Linked DNA regions of Macaca fascicularis. The protein of the gene in region 2 interacts with the protein of the main gene of each other region in a pairwise test. Links are inferred from orthologs where the notes say so. Each region holds a gene or a part of one and is shown on either strand. Other genes may lie near its edges. The genes, in order: AMOT, MAGEA4 and UBXN6.

Region 1 (9,760 bases), about 39 Mb from region 2:
ATATCCTTGCTTCCCAGAAGGGTAACTGAAGCTTAGAGCAGCTAATTCATTTACCCTTGGTCACATGGTAAGCCAGAGAAGGGCCGGGCAGAGAAAACCAGATCCCGGCTTCAAGTCACACAGGCTAATGATATTTCATAGAGTTAGGGCAAGAGTGAAAGTGCCTTTACAAACGTCAAGGCAAGCCCAAAGACTTAAAAGAGTAGATTTTCAACAGCTGCCTTAGGAAACATTGGCAAATACATCCATTTGCATTTTCTCCAGGATCATATATTACCAAAAAAAAAAAAAAAAAGTTCCTGTTCCTCATTTGGTACTTTCTAAATACTAAAAACCCGTACCGCACTTTCTACTCCAGTTAGAGAAATTTAATGTAATTTATGATGAGCCACTGGTTTCCAGGAATGAATCCATCTTTTTTTTTTTTTTTTTTTTTTTTTTGCTCTTGTTGCCCAGGGTAGAGTGCAATGGCGTGATCTTGGCTTACTGCAACCTCCGCCTCCCGGGTTCAAGCAATTTGTCCCTCAGTTTCCCAAGTAGCTGGGATTACAGGCATGCGCCACCACACCCAGGTAATTCTGTATTTTTAGCAGAGTCGGGGGTTTCACCATGTTGGACAGGCTGGTCTCAAACTCCTGACCTTAGGTGATCTGCCCGCCACTCCCTCCCAAAGTGCTGGGATTACAGGCGTGAGCCACCATGTCCGGTGAATCCATCAAATCTTAGAGATCACATGTATACCATACCTTTGTTATCAAAGGAAAATCAAAGAACTATGAAACTGAACTTTCACTACATGGTGAAGACCTCAGATGAAGAACCCATTACGCGTGGGCCATTCTGCTGCTGCACGTATTGTCTTTTATTTCACTGTCTAAAATCCTTAGTTTCTTTGCTATCTTTTAGTCTAATTTAAACGTATTATTTTCCATGCTATAAAACAAGTATATCTGTGCTGTCCTGCTTCTCCTTTCTCATTCTGAAGATTTCATAGTCCACCCAAATTTGTACTCACTTGATGGCATATCACTATACAGTGATTTAAAAATCATTGCCAATGATTTAGACAAGGTAAACAGTGGACCCTAGTTTTTGTTGCCGTTGTTGCTGTTGTTAACAAGAATGGGGGAGAGATAACAGGAGGTCAAAGGAATTAAATTAACAGCCTTGCTAGATACATGAACAATTCCCGAATCACAGAGTGTTTAGGGATTACTTATTATATCCATCAGCTTCTCCTGGCATTTGAGAAACAAAATATATGGGAGTCTTCATGTGTCCTCCATCAGATTCTGACTTCTTTCCTCCACATGGGTTTACAAAGCTAAGTCTTAGGTGGGCTCTTATTGAAAAGCAACATTGTATATATCTGTGGCTCCAATTTTCTAAAATTCATGTTAGTACAGGAACCAGGACTTGAAAGGAACTAGAAAAAATGAAAGCAGGTGATCTGTTAGGATGATGGAATTCTTGAAGTTTTGGATAGAGTCTTAGCTTCTTTTTTTTTTTTTTTTTTTTTGAGACGGAGTCTCGCTCTGTCGCCCAGGCTGGAGTGCAGTGGCCGGATCTCAGCTCACTGCAAGCTCCGCCTCCCGGGTTCACGCCATTCTCCTGCCTCAGCCTCCCGAGTAGCTGGGACTACAGGCGCCCGCCACCTCGCCCGGCTAGTTTTTTGTATTTTTTAGTAGAGACGGGGTTTCACCGTGTTAGCCAGGATAGTCTCGATCTCCTGACCTCGTGATCCACCCGTCTCGGCCTCCCAAAGTGCTGGGATTACAGGCTTGAGCCACCGCGCCCGGCGAGTCTTAGCTTCTTAATGTTGGGTTGTTAAAATATAAAACATGATGCATCTATATTCATATATCCTTACAGGATCTTTTTTTTTTTTTAACATGATGACTAGATGATTGAATTTCTAACAACGGTTGCACTTCATTCTAGTAGCAATCATTCACATTCATACTCGATATTGAGGCTTAGAAAGAAAACCATAAACTTATGAGAACTGGCTCTCAAAATCACCCTGTCCAAATCCACAATTTACAGTGGAAAAAAAAAAAAACTTAACAGAGGTAGTAAACCGAGTTACGGTTGGGCCTAGAGCCCAGGTCCTTCTCACCAGTAGGCTCACTAGGAAATCTTATTGCAGATTCTTAGGTTAAAAGTGGCATCAGGAGCCATTATTTACTAGAAATAACTTTCTAGATCCCTGGGTTAGTAAAACACAGTAACTGGAAATAAAATATTTTACCTATATGGGGTGGATAGTCTCATCCTTAGAATTGTTCAAAATCTATAAAGTCTGATTTATTTTCAAAAAGTAATACTAGCTTTCTTCTGCAAGCAGTTGTAGGCCGGAGCTAACGTGGCCAGCATTATTACAAGCCAGGATGATTTAGACAATTAACTAACTCCATTCCATATAACAAAAAGATTTCAAAGGCCAAATAATGGCCTCACTTAATTTAAGTGATAATCATTACAAATTCTTATGTATTCCTTTATGCAATAAATATACTTCCGAGAAGGCCCAGTTAGAGTGAATTTTTATATATCAAGTCATAGTTTAAAGGCACTAACTAGGAAAGCTAGTACTTACAAAGAAACCTGTTGTGGATTCTTTTATAAAGCAAATGACTTCTTTTTCTTTTTCTTTTTTTTTTTTTTTTTTTGTTCAGATTGTGTGTGTTGTGTGTGGAAGGGGCGACTTCCCTCCTTTCTCTGGGTTAAAAGGGGTCAGAAGCCCACCATGGAGGAGAGTAATGTAGTATGGCTAGCCTGTTTAATACCCCCTTAGTTCCTGGGACAAAATTCTAACCTTTGACTTGGGGGTGGAACCCTAGATTTTGGACCAAAGTCCACAAAAGGCGGCAAGGAGGGAAAAGTAAGTAAGACTAAAGACAACACATCATAGTAAAACACCAACAAAAATTCCTGGGGACAGGAAATCAATGGATCACAATTCTAAACAAATTGGTTTAGTCCCCAGCTAATTAACTTGTCAAGCAGATCACTAAACCTACTGAATCCATGGGAGAAAGAGATGATGTAATAGGAGATTTGGAAACATTTACCCATTTACCATCCTAAAAGGCTCCACTACGACCACACACACCTCTCCCTACCCCTTTCAGTGTGTTTAAGCTGGGCTTAATGGGTGCAAAGGACAATTTCTACCAGACAGTCCCCAAGAATAGACTGTTCTCATGCATTCCAAATGCTCAGTCTCCATGGAGGAGGCTACCTGGTCGCAAGCATTTCCCAAGAGGGAATATATCCTCTATTTCTCCTCATTGGTAACAACTCCCCCACTCCACCCCCATGCCCCAAACAAAACAAAACAACTTCTAACCATCCTGAGAACTTCAGGCGACTTTTCTGGGGTAAAGGAAAAGAAGCGTTAAGAGGGGAACAGGAAAGTGTGAGAAACCCCTCTTGTCTCCAAATGGAAAAAAAGGCCTTAAAAAGCTGGATCAAAAGAAGAAAGGGGGATGGGGAAGAAGGGCCGCTTAATTACAAAGACACCCTTTTAAAGAAGGCGCAGGCCCTGGGAGAGGGCTCTTGGGAGAGGCACAGAAGCAGATGTACCCACTTAGAATTCTGGCACTCAATGGGACCTCAAGGTCATAGTATCCATCCCCCTGCCTTCTGATTAGGCTATTCTTAAAGCATTCTAGAGTCTGATGCGGTCTTTACAAAACCTCAGAAAGAAAAAGCAACTCTACAAATGTCCTAGTTGGGAATTAGTCTAATAAATCCAAATTCATAAACCAGAAATGAGATTTTAATTTCCAAATCCAAAACTGCATCGACTATGAATTATTAAAATTCCCTTTCTAAAATCTTTTAAATAGGTAAACAGATCTGCAAATTTCATGTAAAAGTGACTCCACATCCAATCGTGGTCAGAGGCTTACTTCACATCTAGACCATGAAGGTAGAAAAAGCACTTTCAATTTTACAAAGTCACAAACTTTTCCAAGGAAAGAAGTAATTTAAAATGAAGTATGATGTAGTGCCAGAAAGTGTCTGTCAATGACGCCGGATAAACCCATACAGAATAGTTGGAACCTGAGTTATCATCTGTAAATAGAGGCAACTACTCTACAACCACCTGGCTGTTAAAATGTCCCAGGCTAGTTATAAAATGTAGTTTGGTCAGGCCAGCTTTTCCCTCCCAGCTGATCTGAAACAGGATAGCCTTTAAAATTGTCACCCTGTAACGTTCCTTCTTTACCTTCCTACTTTCCTTTCCCTCATTAAAATCAACCAAAGTTAGTTTTAAATGTATGTAAATAATGTGTTCCCAAATAAGCAATAGGTTAAGGACATCTCAGTAATAAGTCTTTGAACACCATCACTTACAACCTTGACGCACTTGTCCAATTGAAGATAGGTGGGAGATGGATGAAAATGTATACCACATTCAAAATGGCATTTCAAACTATTCTTAGCTACTAAATGAGGGTGCTGAAAGGTCTAACTGAGAAGGCTTCACAAAGGCTGGCCTGAGAAAGAACTTTTCACAAAGCGTAGCTCAAGGAGACTTAAATACCCTTAGCCCTTCATCATTGAAGATTATGGTGACTAATTATCTTCCTCTCTCAATGGGAGAAGAGGGTTATATTCATAAAAGTTTTAAACTGCCTCCCAACTTCCACTCTTCATGGCGGGGAGGGAGGATAACTGAACTAAACATCCCAGGTTGTTGAAAAATTCGTTCTAAAACATACACTAGAGATTGAAAATGCTGTTTCTCACCAACTTTCTCTTTCCTTGCTCATTTAATTCTATTTAGTCCCTTTATGCAAATTATTATATTATTATTAGTGGCAATTTACCAGGAACTGCTCACAGTCTATTGAAGACTGTTATTTTCCCTCCCACTTTTCTTTCTCTTCATTTTCACATACCCATGAAGCCCATCTTACTGTCGAAGCACCAACGTGCAGTGGCCCAGGCTTGGACCCTCAAGACACCTGCCTGATCCCCCAAAACTATTTACTAACATCTTTGGATCTTCTAAGCAGATAGGGGCAACTCTCTCCTCACCATTACTATCACCACCACAGGCACCACAAACACCACCACACATCTCAAAGAGTAGCCTTGTGTTTTAGATTACACAGACTTTAAAACTTCAAGAATTCACGGTCCTACCCCTCCTGCTCCCGCCTCAGGGAGTGTGAGTCCCCACCCCAAGCCTAAGCACTTAGGAGAAACCTATCTAGTTATCTGAGATAAGCACTGACATGCATGCTGGGCTAAATGTAGATTTCAGCTTCCCTCGGGTCTTTAGCTCCTCCATGTGATTAATTACCTAGAGACCCACAAGAACCCCAGGAGGTAAGGAAGTAAAAGTACCAACTAGTAGTGGTACCCACTAGCATCTCCTCACCTAAGTAGGACGGGAAAGCAGCGCACACTCTAACCGATTTAACTTGCTGCACATCCAAAAAAACTAATGGCGAGCTGCAAAGAAAGTAGAACACACGGACGTTCCCACACGCGCCTAGATCGATTCACTCACGCCGAGGGCACGACCAAGTTCATGCCACCATGGATTCCTGCCCCAGTTCCCCGCGAAAAGTAACCACGCGTCTCCTACCCCTGAAGGCAACGAAGACAAGGTGACGACTCTCTGCTCGCTCAAGTGGCTTCGGTCCCGGGCCAGCGGCCAGGGATGGGCAGGGGGGAAGCCCCAACTCCCGGCTGCTCCCCTCCTCGCTGCTCCGTCCGGGCTCTCCTTGGTGGCAGTGGACAGGCAGGATACCGGGCCAGAGGGTGGAGCAGCGGATGGTCGGAGGCGAGACTGACTGGAGGTGGTGGTAGTTGGGGGGGAGGCGGAGAGAACTAAGAGAAGAGGAGGCGAAAGAGAGAGGAGACGGAGGAGTAATTCAGAGGGTCTACCAGTTTAGGCAGCCAGAAAGCTCCTCGGAAGGAAGGGGCGTGACTGCCAAGGCAGCTCCTGGGCAAAGGATGGGAGGTAGGGGAGGGGGACGCACGGGTGGCTTTTCTTCTTGCGGTGAGCGGCTAGGACCGCCCCGGAGCAGGGCGGGGGGGGTGGACTAGGGAGGAAGGCGGAGTAGAGGGCGGGGAAAGAAGGGCGGGAGCCTGCCTGGACCCTGGAAGTGAGGAGTGGGGGGAGCGCGGAAGAGAGGCGGGGCCGGGGGGCGGGGAAGTTTCAAACAATTGAACCGCGGGGTCCGGGAGCTCCGGCGAAAGCAGGGGACCCTCGCTCTCGCCTTCCCACTAGAGGGGCACGACTCGGTTGCCGTAGCCGTGAGAGTCTGCGCCGTGACTGGCTGGGAAGAAGGAAAGGGTTTTGCAAAAGACTACAATAATAATCTGCGGCAACTGCGCGGCATAGTCGCGTGGGAGAGGCAGTGCAGCTCCCCGCCCCACTGCTGGAGGAAGAAAAACAAATAATAGAAATGCTGAAAAGCACCTTCCACCAAAGACTGCTTAAAATAATGCAGGAAAGTGCAGTGCTCCTTCGTTTTCCTTCCCCTCTTGCTTCCTATTACCAGCAGGCTCCCACCGAGGTCACAGCTCTGCGAGACACCCTCCTTTCTTCCTCCGCTCCCCCACCCCGGGCGCTTGCCCGGCTCCCGTTGGCGGGCCGCAGAAGCTGAGGGGCGAGGGAGGAGGGGTCGTGGGCGGGGCTCTGCAGAGGCTCCGCCCCTGGGCGGGCTGGAAGCGCCGGCCTGGGCGGAGTGGGCCCCTGAAGCGTAAGTCCCGCCCACCATTCTTTTGCAGCTACCCGTTGGCCCGGCCTGGCCTAGTATACGCTTGCGATTGGGCCCTGGAGTCGCCAGTCTGATCCCTTTGTCCCACCCGTCCTCAAAATTAATAAAACTAAACAAGAGGCTATTGTGTAGTTCTGTGTTCTACCCCAGCTACTGCTGGGAAGAGAAAGATGAGACGCTTTATTTCTCAGTCTCATAAAAGAATGCAACAGTGTGTCGGTCGACTCTGGTACGCCTTTATGTTTATGGTAGTGTCCAGCTCTCTGCGAATAGGTAACTTTTCTTCCCCCTTAATTCATTAAATCAGGAGGGGGGAAAGTACATGAAGTGTCGTTGTGGTGTTCTGCTGGCTGCGAAAAAAACTGACATTGGTTAAAAACAAGAGAGGGCTGAGAACAGCATCCTGGGACACGGAAAATCTACCATTTTACATCTGGGAAAACGAAGGCACAAAGAAACAGTGTCCGCGTAGCAAAATAACACGGAATTTGGAACCAAAGGAAGAATTCATTTGGGGCCCTGGCACTTGCTAGCTAATTGTGTGACTTCTGTTAAGTGGCTTAACTTCTCAGCCTTAATTTTTCTACCTGTAAATAAATGCTATGAGACATGCCCTATTAACTTAAAGACACTGGTGTGAAAATGTGTGTGAAAACTATAAAGCACTCCACATATGTATGTGTTCCTACTTGTGTATGACACATAATGGAGAGTCTTAGATGTGTTAGGGGACCAATATTCTGCTCATCTGTTTTAAGCATTTACATCCAAGGTCGTGTAGGTTTTGTGGCTTTATTTTAAAAAGTCAACTCTTTTCCTACAATTTTGGGGTGGATATGAAGTTGACTCCCTGCAGTTAGAATAATAAATTACCCCTTTTCTAAGCAGGGTGGGTGAGATTTCTTTTTTAACGTTCAACAGTTTCATGACAACTTAAAGCTATTGTGGTTCTGGTACTGAAAGAGGAAATCATGCTGTGTATCTCCGAAGTGAACTTGAGAAAACAAATATGAAGGAACATTTACCATGGAAACCACCATTCTCTACAGATCCATATTTCCTAGAAAACATTTCAAGTAGGAAACAAGCCTAAATGTAAAGGCCTTGACAGCGCAAGGCTATTATAATGACTCATGCCAATGAAAGAGTGACATCCAATTCAAGCCTGCCTAATGGGAGCCATCTGGGGGGCCGTGGATCAAGGCATGCAAGAGGAAGTGTGCTTAAAGGAAACACTATCACACAGTAAATAGGGGCTCAGAATCCAACTCTGACTTCAGGAAAAGTAGTGGACGATTGCATGTCATGGAGTGTGCAGGAGCTGTGGAAAGATTCAGAAGCAGGAGTGTGCACAAAATGATTATCGTTATGGTTCTGTTTATGTATGAAGTGAGGTTATTTGGGTAATTTTTCATGGAGAAAGGGAGTTTTTGAATGTTCAAGATATGGAGACACCTGGTTTGTGAAGCAAGGAAAGATTATTTCAGCCTTGTTATTTGGAGTAGACAGGAGAGCTAGATGGGGGGCCAGGTATATGCTGCAGGACTACTACCCTACCTATCACAGTGGCAACAGGATATTTGTTAAAATCAATGCTGTACAAGTGAAAAAAGTTAAACATGCACATGGAAAAATTCAGATAAAACAGTACTGGTCTGGGCACGGTGGCTCATGCCTGTAATCCCAGCACTTTGGGAGGCTGAGGCGAGTGGATCACTTGAGGTCAGGCGTTGGAGACCAGCCTGAACAATATGGTGAAACCCCGTCTCTACTAAAAATACAAAAATTAGCCGCAGGTGGTGGCACGCGCCTGTAGTCCCAGCTACTTGGGAGGCTGAGACAGGATAATTACTTCAACCTGGGAGGCGGAAGTTGCCGTGAGCTGAGATCGCGCCACTGCACTGCAGCCTGGGTCAGAGAGCGAGACTCGTCTCAAAAAAACAAAACAAAACAAAACAAAAACACCAAACAAAAAAGTACTGAAAGACTACAATGAAAAAGTTCTTCTCCACCACTCTGCTCCCATAGTCCCATTCTCTTTATGACTGTATGTCATCTTACAAATAGATTATTTGCATATTCAAGCGTGAGTGCATATTCCCTTTTTGTTCCTTACAAGTGGAATCATTAATCATGGCACACCTTGCATTTCTATACTCAATAATGTATTTGAAATATTCTTCCATCTCAGGATAACTATGTTTACCTTATTTATTTTATTATAACTTAGTATTCTATTGCATAGCTGTGCCAAAATTCCTTTACTCATGACTCATCCCCTTATTAAATGGGGATTTGGGAGCCAGACACGGTGGTGGCACATGCCTATAGTTCAAACTACTAGGGAGGTTGAGGGAGGGGAATCCTTTGAGGCCAGGAGTTCAAGGTCAGCCTGGGCAACATAGCAAGACTCTATCTCTAAAAAAGAAATGGAGGCAAATTTGGGCTATTTCCCATATTTTGCTACTATGGAAGATGCTATTTAAAAAAAAATCCTGGTAACAAAGGCCTGGTGGCTACATTTGTAGTATGCCTGCCCCTAGTCTTGAAGTTACCTTCAAAACACTTTTCTAACATGCTTTCCTTTCCCCACAGTGACTGGTGCTGTAGAGCAATGGACTGGAGCAATGGAAACCTCTAAAACACTTAATTCCTTTAACATCCACTCATCAAACCCTGCTTGGTTATTACTCTTCTCCAAATTTTGATGGAGTAGAGTTAGCAGAACTCTGAACTTAATGGTGAGTCACGCTGTGTGCAAGTCACTTCTTAACCTGTGGCAAACAGTTTTTTGGCACTTCTGTTTAACCCAGGTCTTCCAAGCCTTCTATCCTGCCACGCAAGACTTCTTTGTTTTCACCCTGAAAACCTTTCAGTTTGTTTAAACCGAGTTGAGTTTGGATTTAAAGCTATGCATTGCCTGCGCTACTTAAAAGAGAGGGGGAGGGGGAGGCCAACATCAACAAACATTGATTGAGCTGTTATTATAGACAAGACTGAAAAAACAGGCA
Region 2 (9,631 bases):
TCAATGCCAAAGATCATCTTCAGGGACTCAGAGGCTTTGCCGAAGATCACAGGAAAGCAGTGCTTGTAATTTTTGATGACTCTCTCCAGCATTTCTGCCTTTGTGACCAGCTCCTTGGCTCGATACTTGAGGAGCAGAAAATGAACCAACTCATCCACCTTCTTACTGAGTGCTTCTCGGAACAAGGACTCTGGGTCAGGAGAGGTGCTTGGCCCCTCCTCTTCTTGGCTGCTGGAACCCTCATTGGGTTGCCTCCAGCAAGTGAAGTTGACGGTAGAGGGTAAGGCGGAGGCTCCCTGAGGACTCTGGGGAGGACCTGTTGACCCAGCAGCAGGCACTTCCTCCAGGGTGCCAGGGACCAGAGGAGAGGAGGAGGAGGCAGCAGCCTCCTGCTCCTCAGTAGCAGGAGCCTGCGCACCCACTAGGCCCAGGGCCTCTTCTTGGGCCTCAACGCCTTCCTCAGGCTTGCAGTGCTGACTCTTCTGCTCAAGAGACATGATGACTCTGGTCAGGGCAGCAGGTGGGAGTGTAGGCAAAAGCTGGGCAGTGGGGACCCACAGGCCTGGGGAGAGAGGGAGCATGTGAGAGGCCTCAGCTGAGAACCGAATCTTGGAGGCTCTAACAAAGGCTTACTTACAGACCTTCTCCTTGGTGCTCCTCTGTGATCTCCAAGGAATCCTGTCCTCCGGGTTGGCCTATCTCCTGAGAACCTAAAGGAGGAAGTGAGAGAGCACCTCAGGGTATAGCCGGCCAGCAGAGGTCGATTCTGCAGGACTAACAGGAGGTGAGGTCAGACTCTCTGGAGTTCCACGTGTCCTATGCCAAGTGGGGCCCTTGGTGTGCATTCAGGGCAAACATTCACTGCTGGCACAGCCTGTGCACCCTCTGCTCTGTGACTTGAGGACACAAGTCTCAGACCAAGGCCTCATTGCCTTGTTCCTGGAGCTCCTAGGAGATGAATCCATGGGCCCTTAGGGTGCCGACTATAAGCACAGCCCCAGTCCCTCAGTGCTATCAAGAGGGCAGGCTGGACTCTGTGAGGTCCCCACTCTCATAGAGTGGATGGTCCACTCTGTGGTCACTCAGGGCCCTCACATTTCTCCAGGCAGGGCCTGGATTCCACCGTTTTGCTGGCCTGAGAAATTCAGATCAAGCACTCACATGCCTGAGAGGAAACAGGACATGAGGGGCCCCACATCTGGCCACATGTGCCTAGGTCCTCTGAAGAATGACAGCAAGAGATGTCAAAATTCATTGGAACCCATGTGTCCTGGGTGAGGAGCCTGCTTGGTCCTCACCTCAACTCCTGGCAGAGCCTGGGACCCTCCCTCTACTGACCTGGGTGCAGCCCCTCAGACCAAGGCCTCCCCCTCCGTGACATCAGTGATCCCAGGACAAGAGAGGGACCTCAGCAGACAGCCAAGCCCATGCTCTCTGGGGTGACAACAGGAGCAAGGCTGATTTCTGTGGAGTCGTCGTCTGCGTTCTGGCCCTGTGGTACCCTCAATCTTCCCTCACATTCCTCACCAGGACTCTTGGCAGATCCTGGGACCACTGTGTCTGTTGACCAGATAGAGGTCTGTGTTGACCTGAGTAACCCTCTGAGAACAAGGTCCTAACCTCACTGAGATCTGCAATCAGAAATGAGGAGCCACATCCTGTCACCCCTGTGCGGGGAGTCCACAGCTGACCCCTTTGGTCCTGGGGTGAGGGTTCTGATGGCCTCCTGTGGGTCACTCATGTTTGCTCCCAACGGGGCCTGCCCTTCCTCAACCCCCAACCCCCTGAGATGAGCAGATATTGCCCCTTTACTCCAAGACCTCATCTTCCTGAAGGTTCTCCAACTTCCTGCCTATGGTACAAGTAAGATTGGCACATAAGGCCATCCCTGCTCTGGTCCCCCCGAGCTAAGAACAGGGGACAGCCAGACTCTGCGGGGTCCCGTCTTTCTGAGCCACAGGTATCCTCAGACCATAGCCCTCTCCTCTCTGTGACCTCGAAGGTGCAGGAAGCATGAGCTACATGTGGCTACCTTGCTCAGGACCTCCCAGGGCCCAGGTGTCCACTGATCTGGAATGCAAGGACCCCTGAGTCCTCCCTCGTCTTCCTTTCCTTGATCCTGGAAGGGCTGGAACCCACCCCTCTGCTGACCTGAGTCACCATCCCTTGGATTCTCGAGGCTAAAAGAGGAGGCACCTCATTCTCAGACGGGGTGGGGTGGGCTCCCTGCCTTGGGATGCTGGGTCTCCTGAGTCCTTCCTCGTCTCCCAGGAGAGCCAGGGTCCTCCCTCTGCTACCCTGAGGCTCTGCTCATGATACCAAGTCCCTTCCCTCCTTCAGCCCTGGATGTGGATGTCAAGATCCGAGTGCCTGATCATTCCCAGGTCTTCCGTCGGTTGACTGCAGGAGAAAAAATGGATTCTGCAGAACGGAATTGGGGATGGGGTTGAGGATCTGGATGGTGGGGGGATGCTGGAATGTGAAAGGGGTGGGAATGTAGGTCCCTCAATTCCCTCTCAGGGTCCTGATTCTGATGCCAGGCAGAGCCTGGGCCCTGCCTTGGGCACACCAAGCTGTGACTCGAGTCCCCTGTGGCTTTAGTGGCAGTGGGAGCTGGGACGGCCTAGCCTGAGTCTTCCCCCGGGTGGTCCAGGGCTGGCAGCAGGGGCTGAGCTCGATTGTTTGGGGTCCTCTATCTGGAGTGGGGGCCTCCTCAGTCCTTCATCAGAGTCTCACCTTGCCTCGTCACAGAGCTTGGGCCTGCTCTCCTCAGTCAATCTCAATTATCCCCTCAGGACCATGCCCTCGATTCTCTCTGACCCCCAAAACGTCCCAGCACCAAGTCTGGGGTTTCCCTGGATTGATAGCAGAAGGGGAACTGGATTCTGCCTGGTGAGGTTGGAGGGCAAGGAATGGGAAATGGGGCAGCGAAGTGGTAGGGGATTTGTGGGAATGGGGGTTAGAGTGGGATCTTGGGGGACCTCAGTTCCCTCTCAGGTTTCTGACTTTGATTCCTGGCAGATCCTGGGCCATGCCCTCTCCTAACCAGCCCTGCCCTGATCACACCAACCTCTGACTCCAGAGTCTCCTGTGGCTTAAACAAACGGGTTGCAACAGGGGCGGTGGTGGGGAGCAGCCCAGCCTGAGAAGTCGGCCTCCTGGGTGGTCCAGGGCTGGCAGTAGGGATGGTGCTGGATTAATTGGGGCCCTCTATCTGGGGGGGGGCCCTTCTGAGACCTCCCTCAGCCTCTCACCTTGCCTCCTCAGAGCCTGGGCTCACTTCTCTCTGCTGATGTCAAGCTCCCCCTAAGGAGAACCTTGCTTCTCTCTAACTCCCAATGAGCAAGTCAGTGGCGTCACATTCGGGTACCAGGGACTTTCCTGGATTGACAGCAGGGGCTGAACTGTATTCTGCCAGGGTGGGGGTTCCGGTGGGAGGGGTGTGGGTGGAAAGGCAGAGCGGAAGGAGATCTGGGTTGAGGTATAGGAGTGGTGGATAGGGGTGGGAATGGCAATGAAGTGGGGGTGGGTCATGAGAGTGGGGATTGCAGTGGACTCTTGGAGGCCCTCAGCCCTCCCTGAGATTCCTGACCTTGATGCCTGGCAGAGCCCAGATAGTGCCCTCTCCTAAGCATCCCTTCCATGGTCACACCACGCTCTGACTCCAGAGTCTCCTGTGGGGACCGGGTGTGGGGACAGGTGGTGGTGGGGTGGGAAGCTGGAGGCGGCGGCCTAGCCTGAGAAGTCAGCCTCCGCGATGGTCCAGGGCTGGGACCTTCTATCAGGGATAAGGGTGTCCTGAATCCTCCCTCAGAGTCTGACTGCCTGCTCACAAAGCCTGGGCCCCCTTCTGTCTGACAATCTCAAGCCGTTCTTCAGAACCAGAACCTCGCTTCCCTCTAATCCCCAATGCACAAGTCAGTGGCATCACATCCGGCCACCCAGGGCTTGCCTGGATTGAAAGCAGGGGTGTAACCAGATTCTGCACGGATGGGGATGAAGGTGGGGGGCATGAGGCTGGTGGGGGGTGTTGGGGAGCATAGGGGCACAGGTGGGGGATGGGGGTACAGATGGGGTTGGGAGTGCGGATGGGAATGGGAACAGGGTAGGGGATAGGAATGGGGTGGGGGACGCTCCACCCTCTCCTAGGGTCCTGATGTTGAAGGTTAGCAAAGCCTGTCCCCACCAGTCTTGCACTGATTACACCAAGCTCTGACTGAACAGTCCCCTGCGGCTTAAGCGGCAGTGGAGTGGTGGGCCCCAGACTCAGATGTCCGCCCACGAGTGACCCAGGGCTGAAAGCAGGAGTGGTGCTAGATTATTTGGGGTCATCCATCTGCAGTGGGGAGGGTCTCCCGAGTCCTCCCTCAGCTTCTCACCTTGCCACCTCAGAGAGCCTGGGCCGGCTTCCCTCTGCCAAGCCCAAGCTGCCTGTCAGACCAAGAAGCTAGCTTCTCTCTAACCCCCAATGCGCAAGTCACTGGCATCACATCCGGGCACCTGGGGCTTCCCTGGGTTGAAAGTGGAACTGGAACCCGATTCAGCCTGGATGGGAGTAGAGGTTTTGGGGTGGGGATATGAGGGCAGTGATTCAGCCTGGATAGGGGTAGAGGTTTGGGGGTGGGGATATCAGGGTGGTGGGAGTTTGGGGAGGATAGGAGTACTGGTGGGGAATGGGGGTGTAGATGGGGTTGGGAGTGTGGATGAAAATGGGAACGGGGTGGGGGACCCTCAGCCCTCTCTTACAGTCCTGAGGTTGACGCCTGGCAGAGCCTGCCCTCACCAGTCTTGCACAGATCCCCCCAAGCTCTGACTCGAGAGTCGCCTGTGACTTCAGAGGCAGTGGAGTGGCGGGTGACCCAGACTCAGAAGTCTGCCCACGGGTGGCCCAGGGCTGGCAGCAGGAATGGTGCGGGATTATTTGGGGTCGTTTATCTGGGGTGGGGGCCTCCTAAGTCCTCCCTCAGCATCTCACCTTCACTCCTCAAAGGGCCTGGCCCGCTTCCCTCCGCCAATCCCAAGCTCCCTGTCAGACAGAGAAGCTCGCTTCTCTCTGACCCCCAACGCGCAAGTCATTGGCTCACATCCGGGCACCTGGGGCGTCCTGGGGTTGAAAGCGGAAGCAGAACCCGATTCAGCGTGGATGGCAGTGGGAGGGATGAGGATGGTGGAGGGGGCAGGCTTTTTGGGGTGGGAGACGGCGGTATGAGGATGGTGGTGGATTGGGGAGGATGGATGGGGTGCTGCAGAGGGATGGGAGTGTGGATGGGTTTGGGAGTGCGAATGGGAATGGGAAAGGGAACAGCGTGAGGGATGGGAAGGGGGTGGGGGATAGGAATAGGGGTGGGATAAGCTCAGCCCTCTCTTATGGTCCTGAGGTTGATGCCCGGCAGAGCCTGCCCTAACCAGTCTTGCACTGATCACCCCAAGCTGTGACTCCAGAGTCCCCAGCGACTTCAGAGGCAGTGGCGTGGTGGGTGCCCCACACTCAGAAGTCCACCCACGGGTGGTCCAGGGCTGGCAGCAGGAGTGGTCCAGGATTATTTGGGGTCGCCTATCTGGGGTGGGGGCCTCCTGAGTCCTCCCTCAGCATCTCACCTTGACTCCTCACAGGGCCTGGCCCGCTTCCCCCCACCAGTCCCAAGGTACCGGTCAGACAAAGAAGCTTCTCTCTAACCCCCAATGCGCAAGTCAGTGGCATCACATCCGGGCACCTGGGACTTCCTTGGGTTGAAAGTGGAAGCGTGGATGGGAGTGGGAGGGGTGACGTTGGTGGAGGGAGCGGGTATTTTTGTGTGGGAGATGGTGGTATGAGGGTGGTGGGGGGTTGGGGAGGATAGGGTTGCTGGTGGGGGATGGGGGATGGAGGGTTGTGAATGGGAATGGAAACGGGGGGGGATGGGAATGGAGGTGGGGGATGGGAATAGGGGTGCGGTAAGCTCAGCCTTCTCTCATGCTCCTGAGGTTGATGCCCGGCAGAGCCTGCCTTCACTAGTCTTGCACTGATCACCCCAAGCTCTGACTCGAGTCCCCTGAAACTTCAGAGGCAGTGGGGTGGTGGGTGCCCCAGACTCAGAAGTCCGCCCATGGGTGGCCCAGGGCTGGCAGCAGGAGTGGTCTGGGACTATTTGGGGTCGTCTATCTCGGATGGGGACTCCTGAGTCCTCCCTCAGCATCTCATCTTCACTCCTCACAGGACCTGGCCCCCTTCCCTTGCCAATCCCAAAGTGCCGGTCAGAGAAGCTCGCTTCTCTCTAACCCCCAGTGTGCAAGTCAGTGGCCTCACATCCGGGCACCTGGGGCTTTCCTGGGTTAAAAGCAGAAGCGGAACCCGAATCAGCATGGATGGGGGAGGGAGGGGTGACGGTGGAGGGGGTGGGAATTTTGGGGTGGGAGACGGTGGTATGAAGGTGGTGGGGTGTTGGGGAATATACCTGGGCTAGTGGGGGATGGGATTGTGGATGGTTTTTAGGAGTTCGAATGCGAACAGGGTGGGGGTGGGAATGGGGGTGGGGAAGGGGAATAGGGTTGGGGGACATTCAGCCCTCTCTTTTGGTTGTGAGGTTGGTGCCTGGCCAACCTTTCCCCCGCCCATCTTGCATTGATCACACCATACTCTGATTCCAGAGTGCCCTTCGACTTCAGAGGCAGTGAGGTGGTGGGTGCCCCAGACTCAGAAGTCTGCCCACAGGTGGCCCAGGGCTGGCAACAGGAGTGGTCCGGGATTATCTGGGGTCGTCTATCTGGGGTGGGGGCCTCCTGAGTCCTCCCTCAGCGTCACACCTTGACTCCTCACAGGGCCTGGCCCGCTTCCCTCTGCCAATCCCAAGGTGCCAGTCACACAGAGCAGCTCACTTCTCTCTAACCCCCAATGCAAAAGTCAGTGGCATCACGTCCAGGCACCTGGGGCTTCCTTGGGTTGGAAATGGAAGCGGAGCCTGATTCAACGTGGATGGGGGTGGGAGGGGTGACGTTGGTGGAGGGGGCGGGTATTTTTGGGTATAAGATGGCGGTATGAGTGTGCTGGGGGGTTGGGGAGGATAGGGGTTAGTGGGGGATAGGGGTGTGAATGGGTTTGGGAATGCGAATGGGAATGCGAACAGGGTGGAGGATGGGAATCAGGGAAGGGGAATAGGGTTGGGGTACGTTCAGCCCTCTCTTTTGGTCGTGAGGTTGATGCCTGGCCGACCCAGCCCCCACGAGTCTTGCACTGATCACTACATACTCTGACTCCAGAGTCCCCTGAGACTTCTGAGGCAGTGGGGGTGGTGGGTGCTCCAGACTCAGAAATCCGCCCATGGGTAACGAAGGGCTGGCAGCAGGAGTGGTGCGGGATTATTTGGGGTCATCTATCTGGAGTGGGGACTCCTGAGTCCTCCCTCAGCGTCTCACCTTCACTCCTCACAGGGCCTGGTCCGCTTCCCTCCGCCAAGCCCAAGGTGCCAGTCAGACAGAGAAGCTCGCTTCTCTCTAACCTCCAATGTGCAAATCAGTGGCATCACATCCGGGCACCTGGGACTTCCTTTGGTTGAAAGCGGAAGCGGAGCCCGAATCAGCGTGGATGGGGGTGGGAGGGGTTAGGTTTGTGGAGGGGTGGGGTATTTTTGTGTGGGAGATGGTGGTATGAGGGTGGTAGGGGGTTGGGGAGAATAGGATTGCTGGTGGGGGTGGGAGAGTGAAAGAGTTGTGAATGGGAATGGAAACGGGGTGGGGGATGGGAAAGGAGGTGGGGGATGGGAACAGGTGTGGGGTAAGCTCAGCCCCCTCTTATGGTCCTGAGGTTGATGCCGGGCAGAGCCTGCTCTCACCAGTCTTGCACTGGTCACCCCAAGCTCTGATTCCAGAGTCCCCTGCGACTTCAGAGGCAGTGGGGTGGTGGGTGCCCCAGACTCAGAAGTCCGCCCACGGGTGGCCCAGGCCTGGCAGCAGGGGTGGTCCGGGATTATTTGGGGTCGTCTACGTGGAGTAGGGGCCTGCTGAGTCCTCCCTCAGCGTCTCACCTTGACTCCTCCCAGGGCCTGTCCCGTTTCCCTCCGCCAACCCCAAGCTGCCGGTCACACAGAGAAGCTCGCTTCTCTCTTAACCGGCAGTGCGCAAGTCAGTGGCCTCACATCCGGGCACCTGGGACTTTCTTGGGTTGAAAGCGGAAGCGGAACCCGATTCAACGTGGATGGGGGAGGGAGAGGTGACGTTGTGGAGGGGGCGGGAACTTTTGTGTGGGAGATGGCGGTATGAAAGTGGTGGGGGGTTGGGGAATATACCGACGCTGGTGGGGGATGGGAGTGTGGATGGGTTTGGGAGTACGAATGGGAATGGAAACGGGCTGGGGGATGGGAATGCGGGTGGGGGATGGGAATGCGGGTGGGGGATGGGAATAGGAGTGGGGTACGCTCACTCCTCCCTTATGGTCCTGAGGTTGATGCCCGGCAGAGCCTGCCCTCACCAGTCTTGCACTGATCACCCCAAGCTCTGATTCCAGAGTCCCCTGTGACTTCAGAGGCAGTGGGGTGGTGGGTGCCCCAGACTCAGAAGTCCGCCCACGGGTGGCCCAGGCCTGGCAGCAGGGGTGGTCCGGGATTATTTGGGGTCGTCTATCTGGGGTGGGGACTCCCGAGTCCTCCCTCAGCGTCTCACCTTGACTCCTCACAGGGCCTGCTTCCCTCCGCCAATCCCAAGCTGCCGGTCACACAGAGAAGCTCGCTTGTCTCTAACCCACAGTGCGCAAGTCAGTGGCCTCACATCCGGGCACCTGGGGCTTTCTTGGGTTGAAAGCGGAAGCGGAACCTGATTCAACGTGGATGGGGGAGGGAGAGGTGACGTTGTGGAGGGGGCGGGAACTTTTGTGTGGGAGATGGCGGTATGAAAGTGGTGGGGGTTTAGGGAATATACCGGCGCTGGTGGGGGATGGGAGTGTGGATGGGTTTGGGAGTGCAAATGGGAATGGAAACGGGCTGGGGGATGGGAATGCGGGTGGGGGATGGGAATAGGAGTGGGGTACGCCCACCCCTCCCTTATGGTCCTGAGGTTGACGTCCGGCAGAGCCTGCCCTCACCAGTCTTGCACTGATCACTCCAAGCTCTGACTCCAGAGTCCCCTGCTACTTCAGAGGCAGTGGGGTGGTGGGTGCCCCAGACTCAGAAGTCCGCCCACGGGTGGCCCAGGCCTGGCAGCAGGGGTGGTCCGGGATTATTTGGGGTCGTCTACCTGGAGTAGGGGCCTGCTGAGTCCTCCCTCAGCGTCTCACCTTGACTCCTCCCAGGGCCTGTCCCGTTTCCCTCCGCCAATCCCAAGCTGCCGGTCACACAGAGCAGCTCACTTCTCTCTTAACCGGCAGTGCGCAAGTCAGTGGCCTCACATCCGGGCACCTGGGGCTTTCTTGGGTTGAAAGCGGAAGCGGAACCGGATTCAACGTGGATGGGGGAGGGAGGGGTGACGTTGGTGGAGGGGGCGGGAATTTTTGTGTGGGAGATGGCAGTATGAAGGTGGTGGGGGGTTGGGGAATATACCGGTGCTGGTGGGGGATGGGAGTGTGGATGGGTTTGGGAGTGCGAATGGGAATGGAAACGGGCTGGGGGATGGGAATGCGGGTGGGGGATGGGAACAGGAGTGGGGTACGCTCACCCCTCCCTTA
Region 3 (9,821 bases), on a different chromosome or scaffold from region 2:
GCCTGAGCCAGCATCCTCAGCTGCCGAGCCCCGAAGGTCCGGACAACACCATGTTCCACCACAACCCGCCTCCACCTTGCAGGGCAAGGTTTCCTAACCACCCTGGAGCCCCAAGGGCAGTGGCCACATCTCCCCCACGATGAAGTCAAGCTGTCCCCACCCCTCAGCGTGGGACAGTGCCACCAGTGGCTGTTCTTACCACGTTGGTCCCTGGGGCCTCGGGGCTCCCGCTGACGGTGGCTTCGGCTTGCAGTTCCTTTCTCACTGGAAGGCAGCCCAAGAAGGAGAAGCAGAGCCAGGGTGGTGAGCTCGCCTCTGTCCTGGCCCGAGCCCCCTCATTCCTGGGGTGGGCCCGTGAGCCATGCACAACACCCCAGCCTGCTGCTGCTGGAGGTCAGGCTGGAGGTCCCCTGCGGGACTCGCTCTGCACCCACCCCTCAGCCTGAGCCAGCACCCCACTGCCTGCGCAGTCCCTGTTTCTGCTCCAAGTCTCTGCTCCCACCCGCTCCCCAGGAAGCTGCCCTTCCCCCAGCACCTGCCCTTGGTGAGTCGCTCCCAAGGGTGACCCTCACACCCCCACAGCTGCTTCCAGGCCCTGGACTTCTGCGTCCAGGGCCAGGCACTAAGGCTGGGAACCTCAAACAGCCCCGACCTGGGCCCGGGGCGGGCCACATCTCACCCTGGTTTCGGATGCTGTCCTGCGACGTGGGGCCCCAGGCCCGGGACTGCTTCTGCTCCAGCCGGGCCAGGGCGGCAGCGGCCGCCATCTGTGCCTCATTGGTGGGTCCCTGGCGGGGCGGCCTCGGGGCCGGCTGGCTGGACTTCTGTTTGGGGGCCTTTTCCCTGGGGACAGACCGAGGGAGAGCGAGTGTATCCTCCTGAGGTGGCCGGCAAACCTGACGTGCGGTCACACAGGGGAGCTTCTGCTGCTCCCCAGCTCCTGCCACCAGCACCACCAGTCAGACGTGTCCCTGCCTATGCGGGCCAGGACGCCTGCTTCCCAGGGGCCACCCGCAGCCACCAGATGGTTCTTCTGCAAGCGGAAGAGCCCCTGGAGGAAGGAGATGCTGGTTCCGCTCAGTTCTGCACCACAGGGCAAGTCCTGCCCCACTGGGCCTCAGCATCCTCGTTTGTAAAATGGGGTGGCAGCACCCCTCCCGAGGCGAAGGCACCTTGATATCCTCAGGGCCTTTTTTTTTTTCTTTTTGAGACAGGGTCTTGCTCTGTCACCCATGCTGGAGTACAATGGCACGATCACGGCTCACTGCAACCCTGAGTTCCCAGGCTCAAGGAATCCTCCCGCCTCAGCCTCCCGAGTAGCTGGGACTTGGAGGCAAGCATCATCACGCATGGCTAATTTTTCTTTTTTTTTTTTTTGAGACGGAGTCTCGCTCTGTCGCCCAGGCTGGAGTGCAGTGGCCGCATCTCAGCTCACTGCAAGCTCCGCCTCCCGGGTCTACGCCATTCTCCTGCCTCAGCCTCCCGAGTAGCTGGGACTACAGGCGCCCACCACCTCACCCGGCTAGTTTTTTGTATTTTTTAGTAGAGACGGGGTTTCACCGTATTTAGCCAGGCTGGTCTCGATCTCCTGACCTTGTGATACGCCCGTCTCGGCCTCCCAAAGTGCTGGGATTACAGGCTTGAGCCACCGCGCCCGGCCACGCATGACTAATTTTTCTATCGAGACAGGGTCTCGCTGTGTAGCTCAGGTTGGTCTCGAACTCTTGGCCTCAAATGATCCTCCCACCAGGGCCTCCCAAACTGCTGGGACTACAGGCATGAGCCACAGCACCCAGCCCACATCCTCAGGAATTGAGGAGACTCAAGGGATGCCACATCCTCCCCCACTCCCTGCTGTGAGAGTCTCCACCCTCAGGTCACAGCTTCGTTTGCTGAGCACCTACTGTGTGCTGGGCCCCCTGCTGGGAGCCGGTCGGCTTGGTTGGTTGACTCCTCCTAACAAGCTGCCAGGGAGGCCTCACCATCCCGTTCCCAAACCCAAGAGGGTCAGGAAGTCCGGGCAATGTGCCCCATGCCACACCACCCTTGTGGCAGGACCCTGGGGTCAGCGGACAGCAGAACCAGCCTCGCCCTGGCCACTCCATGCCAGGCCCGGGGCTGTGCAAGTACCAAGAGCTCATGGACTCGCGGTTCCGCCCTGCTGAGCCCTACACCAAGGAGGGTTCCATAATCCACTTGGCACAGTGGCCTGGCAGAGAAGCCCTTTCTGCCAACCTGCTCGGATGCGTCTGTCTCGCCTGTCTCCTCTCGGGCCCCTCCCGTGAATTCAGGGACTGTGTCACTTTCCATGTCGTAAGTCTATTAAAACTTCCTGGAGGCCAGGCTCTCAGTTCAAGCCCTGTACTCCTCTGGCTCTGCTTAGATACTCGGGCAGCCCTCCCTCCTCGTCTCGAGGCTTAGCTTCGTGCCCACCCCTGCCTATCTAGTCCTCCCACAGCGCAGCATCTTGGGTGGAAGAGGAGATGACTCATGAAGACCCATCCCAGCCCCATCCGATATCTAGGTCTTTCCAACAAAATGGCATTTCCCAGGGCACCTCACCCCAACCGGTCATGGACCCTGCCCGCCCTGGGCAGCCACAGGGACCCTTCTGCAACCTCAGCCAGGGAGCGTCAGCATCACTCCACTGCACGACGCCCCCCCACCACGAAATCCTAAAGCCTCCCTCGGCCGGAGAGCCCTTCCCGGCCTGGCCCACTGCCCTCCCCTGGCCTGGCTCCCCTGGGCTCCCCGCGGTTCTTCCCATACCCCAGCTGCTCCCCGCCGCAAGGCCCTGCACTGTCTGCGCCTTATGCCCACAGTGTTCTCCTGCGGGGAGGGAGGAGGACAGGGGATCTGGAAAGGGCTAGAGCTGCCACAGGGAGAGAAGGAGGGGGCTGATTTCCCCACGGCTGAGTCTCACTGTGTCCTGGGAGAGGCCTTCCCAAACCACCTGATGGCGTCTGCTCACCCTCCTTCAAGGCCCTGGGTACCGCCTGAGCCCTCCTCTGAGGTCTGTTGGTTTATTTGTCCATCAGCTCCCTCTAGAAGGTGAGCCCTGGGACAGCAGAGGCCTTCTCCTGTCCACCACTGCAGCCTAAAACAGGACTTGGTGCCCACACGCCCCACACACCCTGGATATCCAGTCTCGCTCCAGAGAGGACCTCCGCACCCCTTCCCTTCCCGAGTCTCCCCTCTGACCTTCCCCTCTCCGCCAGGCTCTGGGCTGACCCAGCCATCACCCTGATGCCCTGCATCCTTCCTGTCACGCCCAGTCCTAACCCCATCCACTACTGGTTGAATCAATGAAGGGCTCCCCCCATTTGTCCACTTCTCTCCCTGACCCCCCTCCCTCTCTCACTCAGCCTTTGCTCTCCTGCTCTCCCCTAGGAACCCTGAATTCCTCGCTATGCCCCTACCTCCATCACCACCCCACCAACCCGTGATTCCCTGACCCCCACTTCCTGCCACCTCCCTGCCTCTCCTCCTACCCCCTCCCAGCCCCCACCCCTTCACAATCCCTTCCATTATTGCTTACAGACCCCTACCCTGGCTGCCTGGCTGACCTCCTTCCTCAGTCACTCTCCATCAGTCTCCACCACCCCCTGGCCAGCCAGCTCCCTGCAGCAGCCCCAGCTCTTCCAGCTTCCCTTTTCTCAGCCCAGCAGCCCTCAGCCTCGCACCCTCTCCAGCGCCACTTCTTTCCCGGCCCTCCACCTGCCCTCCCAGCTGGCTCAGCCCTGCTCAGGCCCTTCTCTCCAAGTCCTCCCTAGACGATCCGGAAGCCTGCCCGGCACTTATCTCCTTTCCCCTCCCCTCTCACCTCCATAATCCACTTGGCACAGTGACCTGGCAGAGAAGCCTCGCAGAGAAGGCCTTTCTCCCAACCTGCTCAGACGCGTCAATCTCGCCGGTCTTCTCCTCTCAGGCCCCTCCCGTGTCACAGTCCATCTGTCAGAGTCCCTCACCTCCAGTCTCCTCACACACCTTCCTCAGCCCCTCCCAGGTGACTGAAGACGCTACCCACCCCGGCCTCCTTGGCCTTCCAGACTCTTCCTGGTCTCCCATCAGCCTCCCACGTGCTCCAGATCCCAAGTCCAGAACCCCTCTTCCCATGGATGCCTCAGAACAACTCTCCACCACCCCACCCCACAGTTGTGCGTCTTCCTCCAAGCTCAGCTCTCATCCATGGTCACCTAGATTCCCCCAAATCATCCCGGCCACTTAAGGACCAGCCGGGTCCCCAGACCTCTCCCTTATCACCCGTCTCAGAACTGATCATCCCTTTTTTCCCCCAGGGTCGCTCCACTGACCCCCAACTTCCTGCAGCCCCGCCGCCCTAATCCCCCGCCACTGCCTCGGACCCTCCTGCGGCCCCGCCCCCGAGACATCCCCTCCCACCCGGCCCCCTTGCCCCGCCCCCTGCGCATGTTCCCCTCCCCCCGCCTCCCTTGCCCCGCCCCCGGCTCACACCCGCCCCCTCCTGCCCTGACCCCAGATCTCTCTCCCCTCCCCCTGACGCCCATCCTCGGCCCCGCTTGCCCCGCCCCCGGAGCCTCTCCCCCTCCCCTGACTCTCGGCTGCCGCTCCCCAGCCCCTCGCCCTCTCCGATCTCCCGAGCCGCCCGAGGCCCCAGACCCCTCTCCCCGGCCGCCCCTGCGTTCCTCACGCACCCCACGGACTCTGTGAGCTTCTGACCGGGTCCCGCGCTCTTGAACTTGATGTCGGCCTTGAACTCCTGAAAGAATTTCTTCATGGTGGCGGCTGGCCCGGCGGCGAGGGGCCGCGGGGGCGGGGGGCACAGGGCCCAGTCGGGGAGGGGCCGCCCGGGACCAGCCACCGGAAAAAAAATACCGCGCCGCCGGAAGTCCCGCCTTCCCGAGGCCGACCACGTGACAATAGGCTAGAAGTGCCTCTCTAGCGCTCGGTGCCTCGCTGGCCCAGGCGGCCGCTCTGTACGCTGGAGCCGCATCTCTGTGGTTCTTCGGGACTCCGTTGCCAGGGCGACGAGTGCGCCTCTCGATTAGAGTCAGTGCCTTGCCTGGCAGCTTCCGTGGCGCTCCCCAAACGGTGACAGACGGTGACAGGACGACTGAACCTCGCAGAGAAAGCACTGGGCCCTGTCCCTTTCGCTGCTCAACCTAAGCTGGGCACGGTGGCTCACGCCTGCAATCACAGCACTTTCGGAGGCTCAAGCGGGAGGATTGCTTGATTCCAGAAGTTGGAGACCAGTCTGGGCAACATGGCAAAACCTCGTCTCTATTTAAAAAAAAAAAAAAAAAAAGTAAAATAAAATAATAGCCGAGGGTGGTGGCGCGCACCTCTGAGCTACTTGGCAGGCGGAGGCGGGAGGACCACTTGAACCCAGGAGGTCGAGACTGCAGTGAGCTGTGATCAAGCCACCGCATTCCAGCCTGGGCAACAGAGAGAGACCCTGTCTCAAGCAAAACAAACAAAAATCCAACCTTCCCTGTCTCCCCAGAGCTTACGTGATAAAGTCCCAATTTAATGTGGGGTATTGGAGGCCCCCACCTTCTGGCCCTGTTTTGGTCCCTGAAGCCCCCCACCCCACCCCACCAACACCACCACCACCACCACCACCACTTACCCTAGGTAGAAGCTGTTTAAGAGGATGCATCCGATTGGGACCTGGGGATCCACTTTGGTGAACAAGACAGAGAAACCAGTTAATAGTGGCGTACTTTGGGCTGTGCGATTCGCAAAGAAGATACACAAAGTGACAGTTAAAACAAGCCTCCAAAGAAGGGAGTTGGGGGTCAGACGTGGTGGCTCATGCCTATAATGCCAGCACTTTGGGAGGCCGAGGCCGGCGGATCATTTGAGGTCAGGAGTTTGAGACCAGCCTGGCCAACATTGTGAAACCCTGTCTCTACCGGCGCCGGTAATCCCAGCTACTTGGGAGGCTGAGGCAGGAGAATCGCTTGAACCCGGGAGGTGGTGGTTGCAGTGAGCGGAGATCTCACCACTGCACTTCAGCCTGGGCAACAGAGGGAGACTGTGCCTCAAAAAAACAAAAACAGGCCGGGCGCGGTGGCTCAAGCCTGTAATCCCAGCACTTTGGGAGGCCGAGACGGGCGGATCACAAGGTCAGGAGATCGAGACCATCCTGGCTGATACGGTGAAACCCCGTCTCTACTAAAAAATACAAAAAACTAGCCGGGCGAGGTGGCGGGCGCCTGTAATCCCAGCTACTCGGGAGGCTGAGGCAGGAGAATGGCGTGAACCCGGGAGGCGGAGCTTGCAGTGAGCTGAGATGCGGCCACTGCACTCCAGCCTGGGCGGCAGAGCGAGACTCCGTCTCAAAACAAAAACAAAAACAAAAACAAAAACAAAAACAAAACAAAACAAAACAAAAAAGGAGTTGGAATGAGATTCACAGAGACTGAGGGAGGCGAGGCCTCCAGGTAAGGAAACAGCCCACTCTAAGACTGAAATTGAAATAACATGGGTCGGACAAGTGACTCAGGCCTGCAGTCCCAACATTTCGGGAGGCCAAGGTAGGAGGATTGCTTTAGCCCAGGAGTTTGAGGCTGCAGTGAGCTATGATCACACCACTACACTCCAGCCTGGGCAAAGAGCCAGACCCTGTCTTATTAAAAGAGGAAAAAAAATTGGGCTGGGCACAGTGGCTCACACCTATAATCCCAGCACTTTGGGAGGCCAAGGCGGGTGGATTACTTGAGGTCAGAAGTTCAAGACCGACCCAGCCAACATAACAAAACCCCATCTCTACTAAAAATCCAAAAAGTAGCCAGATGTGGTGGTGTGCGCCAGTAATCCCAGCTACTTGAGAGGCTGAGGTAGGAGAATCGCTTGAACTCAGGAGGTGGAGGTTGCAGTGAGTTGAGATTGCGCCATTGCACTCCAAAAAAAAAAAAAAAAAAGAACATACTGAGTTGATTGTACTACTCTTTTCTTTGTTGTTGCTTTTTTTTTTTTTTTGAGACAGTCTTTTTTTTTTTTTTAATTCTTTTTTTTTTTTTTTTTGAGACGGAGTCTCGCTCTGTGCAGTGGCCGGATCTCAGCTCACTGCAAGCTCCGCCTCCCGGGTTCATGCCATTCTCCTGCCTCAGCCTCCCGAGTAGCTGGGACTACAGGCGCCCGCCACCTCGCCCGGCTAGTTTTTTTTGTATTTTTCAGTAGAGACGGGGTTTCACCGTGTTAGCCAGGATGGTCTCGATCTCCTGACCTCGTGATCCACCCGTCTCGGCCTCCCAAAGTGCTGGGATTACAAGCTTGAGCCACTGCGCCCGGCCTTGAGACAGAGTCTTACTCTGTCGCCCAGGGTGGAGTGCAGTGGTGTGATGTAGGCTCACTGCAACCTCCGCCTCCCAGGTTCAAGCGAGTTTCGTGCCTCAGCCTCCTGAGTACCTGGGATTACAGGTATGCTCCACCATGCCCAGCTGATTTTTGTATTTTTAGTAGAGACGGGTTTTCACCATCTTGGCGAGGCTGGTCTCAAATTCCTGACCTCAAGTGACCCACCTGCCTCAGCCTCCCAAAGTGCTGGGATTACAGGCATGAGCCACTGTGCCCAGACTCTTTTCATCATTTCTTAATATTTTATATGGAAAACGACAGGCTGGAATCAGTGACTCATGCCTATAATCCCAGCACTTTGGGAGGCTGAGGCAGGCAGATTGCTTAAACTCATGAGTTGTTGTTGTTGTTGTTGTTGTTGTTGAGACGGAGTCTTGCTCTGTTTCCCAGGCTAGAGTTCAGTGGTGCCTGCGATCTTGGCTCACCACAACCTCCACCTCCCAGTTTCAAGCAATTCTCCTGCCTCAGCCCCCCAGGTAGGTGGGATTACAGGTGTTCACCACCACACCCAGCTAATTTTTGTATTTTTAGTAGAGGTAGGATTTCACCATGTTGGCCAGGCTGGTCTCCAACTCCTGACCTCAAGTGATCTGCCTGCCTTGGCCTCCCAAAGTGCTGGGATTACAGGTGTGATTGACCATGCCTGGCCAAACTAATGAGTTTGAGGCCATAATCGGCAACACGGTGAGACCTCTTCTCTACAAAAAATACAAAATATTACGCCAGTGTGGTGGTGCACACCTGCAGCCCCAGCTACTAGGGAGTGGGTGGTGGGAGGATCACTTGAGCCTAGGAGGTTAATGTTGCAGGGAGCTGTGATCCTGCCACTGCACTACAGCCTGGGTGACAGAGTGAGATCTTATCTTAACAAATAAAAAATAAAAAAGGAAGAAAAAAGATAAAAAAGAAAGGCAAAGTCTATTTCTTCTCTCTTTGATTGTCAGCTAGACTTTGTGACTCATTTTTAACAATAGAATAAGGCAGAAGCAACAATGTGGGACTTCTGAAACTAGGACATAAAATTCACTGATGCTTCCTCTTTGCTCTTTCTCTGGGCTCACTCACCTGGGGAAAGCCATCCGCCATGATGGGAGGAAGCTCAAGCAGCTCCACGGAGAGGCCCACGTGGTGAGGAACTGAGGCCTCCCGCCAACAGCCACATATAGCAGCCACCTCGGAAGGGGCTGGGTGACAGAGCAAGATCATGTCTTAAAAAAAAAAAAAAAAAAAAAGGGTGGACACAGTGGCTCACACCTGTAATCCCAGGACTTTGGGAGGCCAAGGCAGGCAGATCATGAGGTCAAGAGATCGAGACCGCCGGGCGCGGTGGCTCAAGCCTGTAATCCCAGCACTTTGGGAGGCCGAGACGGGCGGATCACGAGTTCAGGAGATCGAGACCATCCTGGCTAACACGTGAAACCCCATCTCTACTAAAAAAATACAAAAATTAGCCGGGAGCGGTGGCGGGCGCCTGTAGTCCCAGCTACTCGGGAGGCTGAGGCAGGAGAATGGCGTGAACCCGGGAGGTGGAGCTTGCAGTGAGCTGAGATCCGGCCACTGCACTCCAGCCTGGGGGACAGAGCAAGACTCTGTCTCAAAAAAAAAAAAAAAAAAAAAGAGATCGAGACCATCCTGGCCAATATGGTGAAACCCTGTCTCAACTAAAAATACAAAAACTAGCTGTGCATGGTGGCACGTGCCTGTAGTCCCAGCTCCTCAGGAGGCTGAGGCAGGAGAATTGCTTGAATCAGGGAAGTGGAGGTTGCAGTGAGCCAAGATTGCATCACTGCACTCCAGCCTGGGCGACAGAGTAAGACTCCGTCTCAGAAAAGAAAAGAAAAGAAAAGAAAATTACAGCTCATTGTTGTGAATAAGGAATTGTATACCCTATAACTGAAATAAAGGTACAACACTGGGCCAAAGTCACACAGCTAGAAAGTGGCAGAGACCTGGCCAGGTGCGGTGGCTCACACCTGTAATCCCAGCACTTTGGGAGGCCGAGACGGGCGGATCACAAGATCAGGAGATTGAGACCATCCTGGCTAACACAGTGAAACCCCGTCTCTACTAAAAATACAAAAAAAATTAGCCGGGCGCAGTGGTGGGTGTCTATAGTGCCAGCTACTCGGGAGGCTGACGCAGGAGAATGGTGTGAACCTGGGAAGCAGAGCTTGCAGTGAGTGAGATCTTGCCACTGCACTCCAGCCTGGGCAACAGAGCGAGACTCTATCTCAAAAAAAAAACCAAAAGAAAAAAAAAGAAAGTGGCAGAGACCCACCCCACTTCTCCAAGAATAAAATCCTATGGGGCCCCTCAGCCTGGTCTAAGGAGGTCCTAACATTAACAGGCCCTAATAAATTTCTTTTTCAGGTTCTAAGTATTCTGGGGGTTTCAGAAACCTCTTTTCTTGTTATTGCCCACGTTTCCACCTCTGCCTCAGTTACCTGGAATTATTTCCAGCTCACCTCTGCCCCTTTGCC

What was found.
Region 1: the proteins of MAGEA4 (region 2) and AMOT interact in binary tests that used the Homo sapiens proteins (3 or more experiments, as listed by UniProt). The two-hybrid records come from large-scale screens. The link is inferred for Macaca fascicularis from reciprocal best matches to the Homo sapiens genes MAGEA4 and AMOT.
Region 3: the proteins of MAGEA4 (region 2) and UBXN6 interact in binary tests that used the Homo sapiens proteins (3 or more experiments, as listed by UniProt). The two-hybrid records come from large-scale screens. The link is inferred for Macaca fascicularis from reciprocal best matches to the Homo sapiens genes MAGEA4 and UBXN6.

Annotation. Positions count from the first base shown.
Region 1 is NC_088395.1:119,346,410-119,356,169, forward strand, and holds the start of AMOT (angiomotin), read right to left. Parts: upstream 6,634-9,760; 5' UTR 6,449-6,633; intron 5,989-6,448; exon of another isoform or gene 5,609-5,988; intron 1-5,608.
Region 2 is NC_088395.1:157,988,405-157,998,035, reverse strand, and holds the start of MAGEA4 (melanoma-associated antigen 4), read right to left. Parts: upstream 5,616-9,631; 5' UTR 5,599-5,615; intron 4,995-5,598; exon of another isoform or gene 4,976-4,994; intron 711-4,975; 5' UTR 642-710; exon of another isoform or gene 638-641; intron 563-637; 5' UTR 498-562; coding exon 1-497. UniProt on the Homo sapiens protein: Regulates cell proliferation through the inhibition of cell cycle arrest at the G1 phase. Also negatively regulates p53-mediated apoptosis.
Region 3 is NC_088393.1:5,194,586-5,204,406, forward strand, and holds the start of UBXN6 (UBX domain-containing protein 6), read right to left. Parts: upstream 4,873-9,821; 5' UTR 4,757-4,872; coding exon 4,674-4,756; intron 3,910-4,673; exon of another isoform or gene 3,824-3,909; intron 844-3,823; coding exon 680-843; intron 265-679; coding exon 200-264; intron 1-199. UniProt on the Homo sapiens protein: May negatively regulate the ATPase activity of VCP, an ATP-driven segregase that associates with different cofactors to control a wide variety of cellular processes.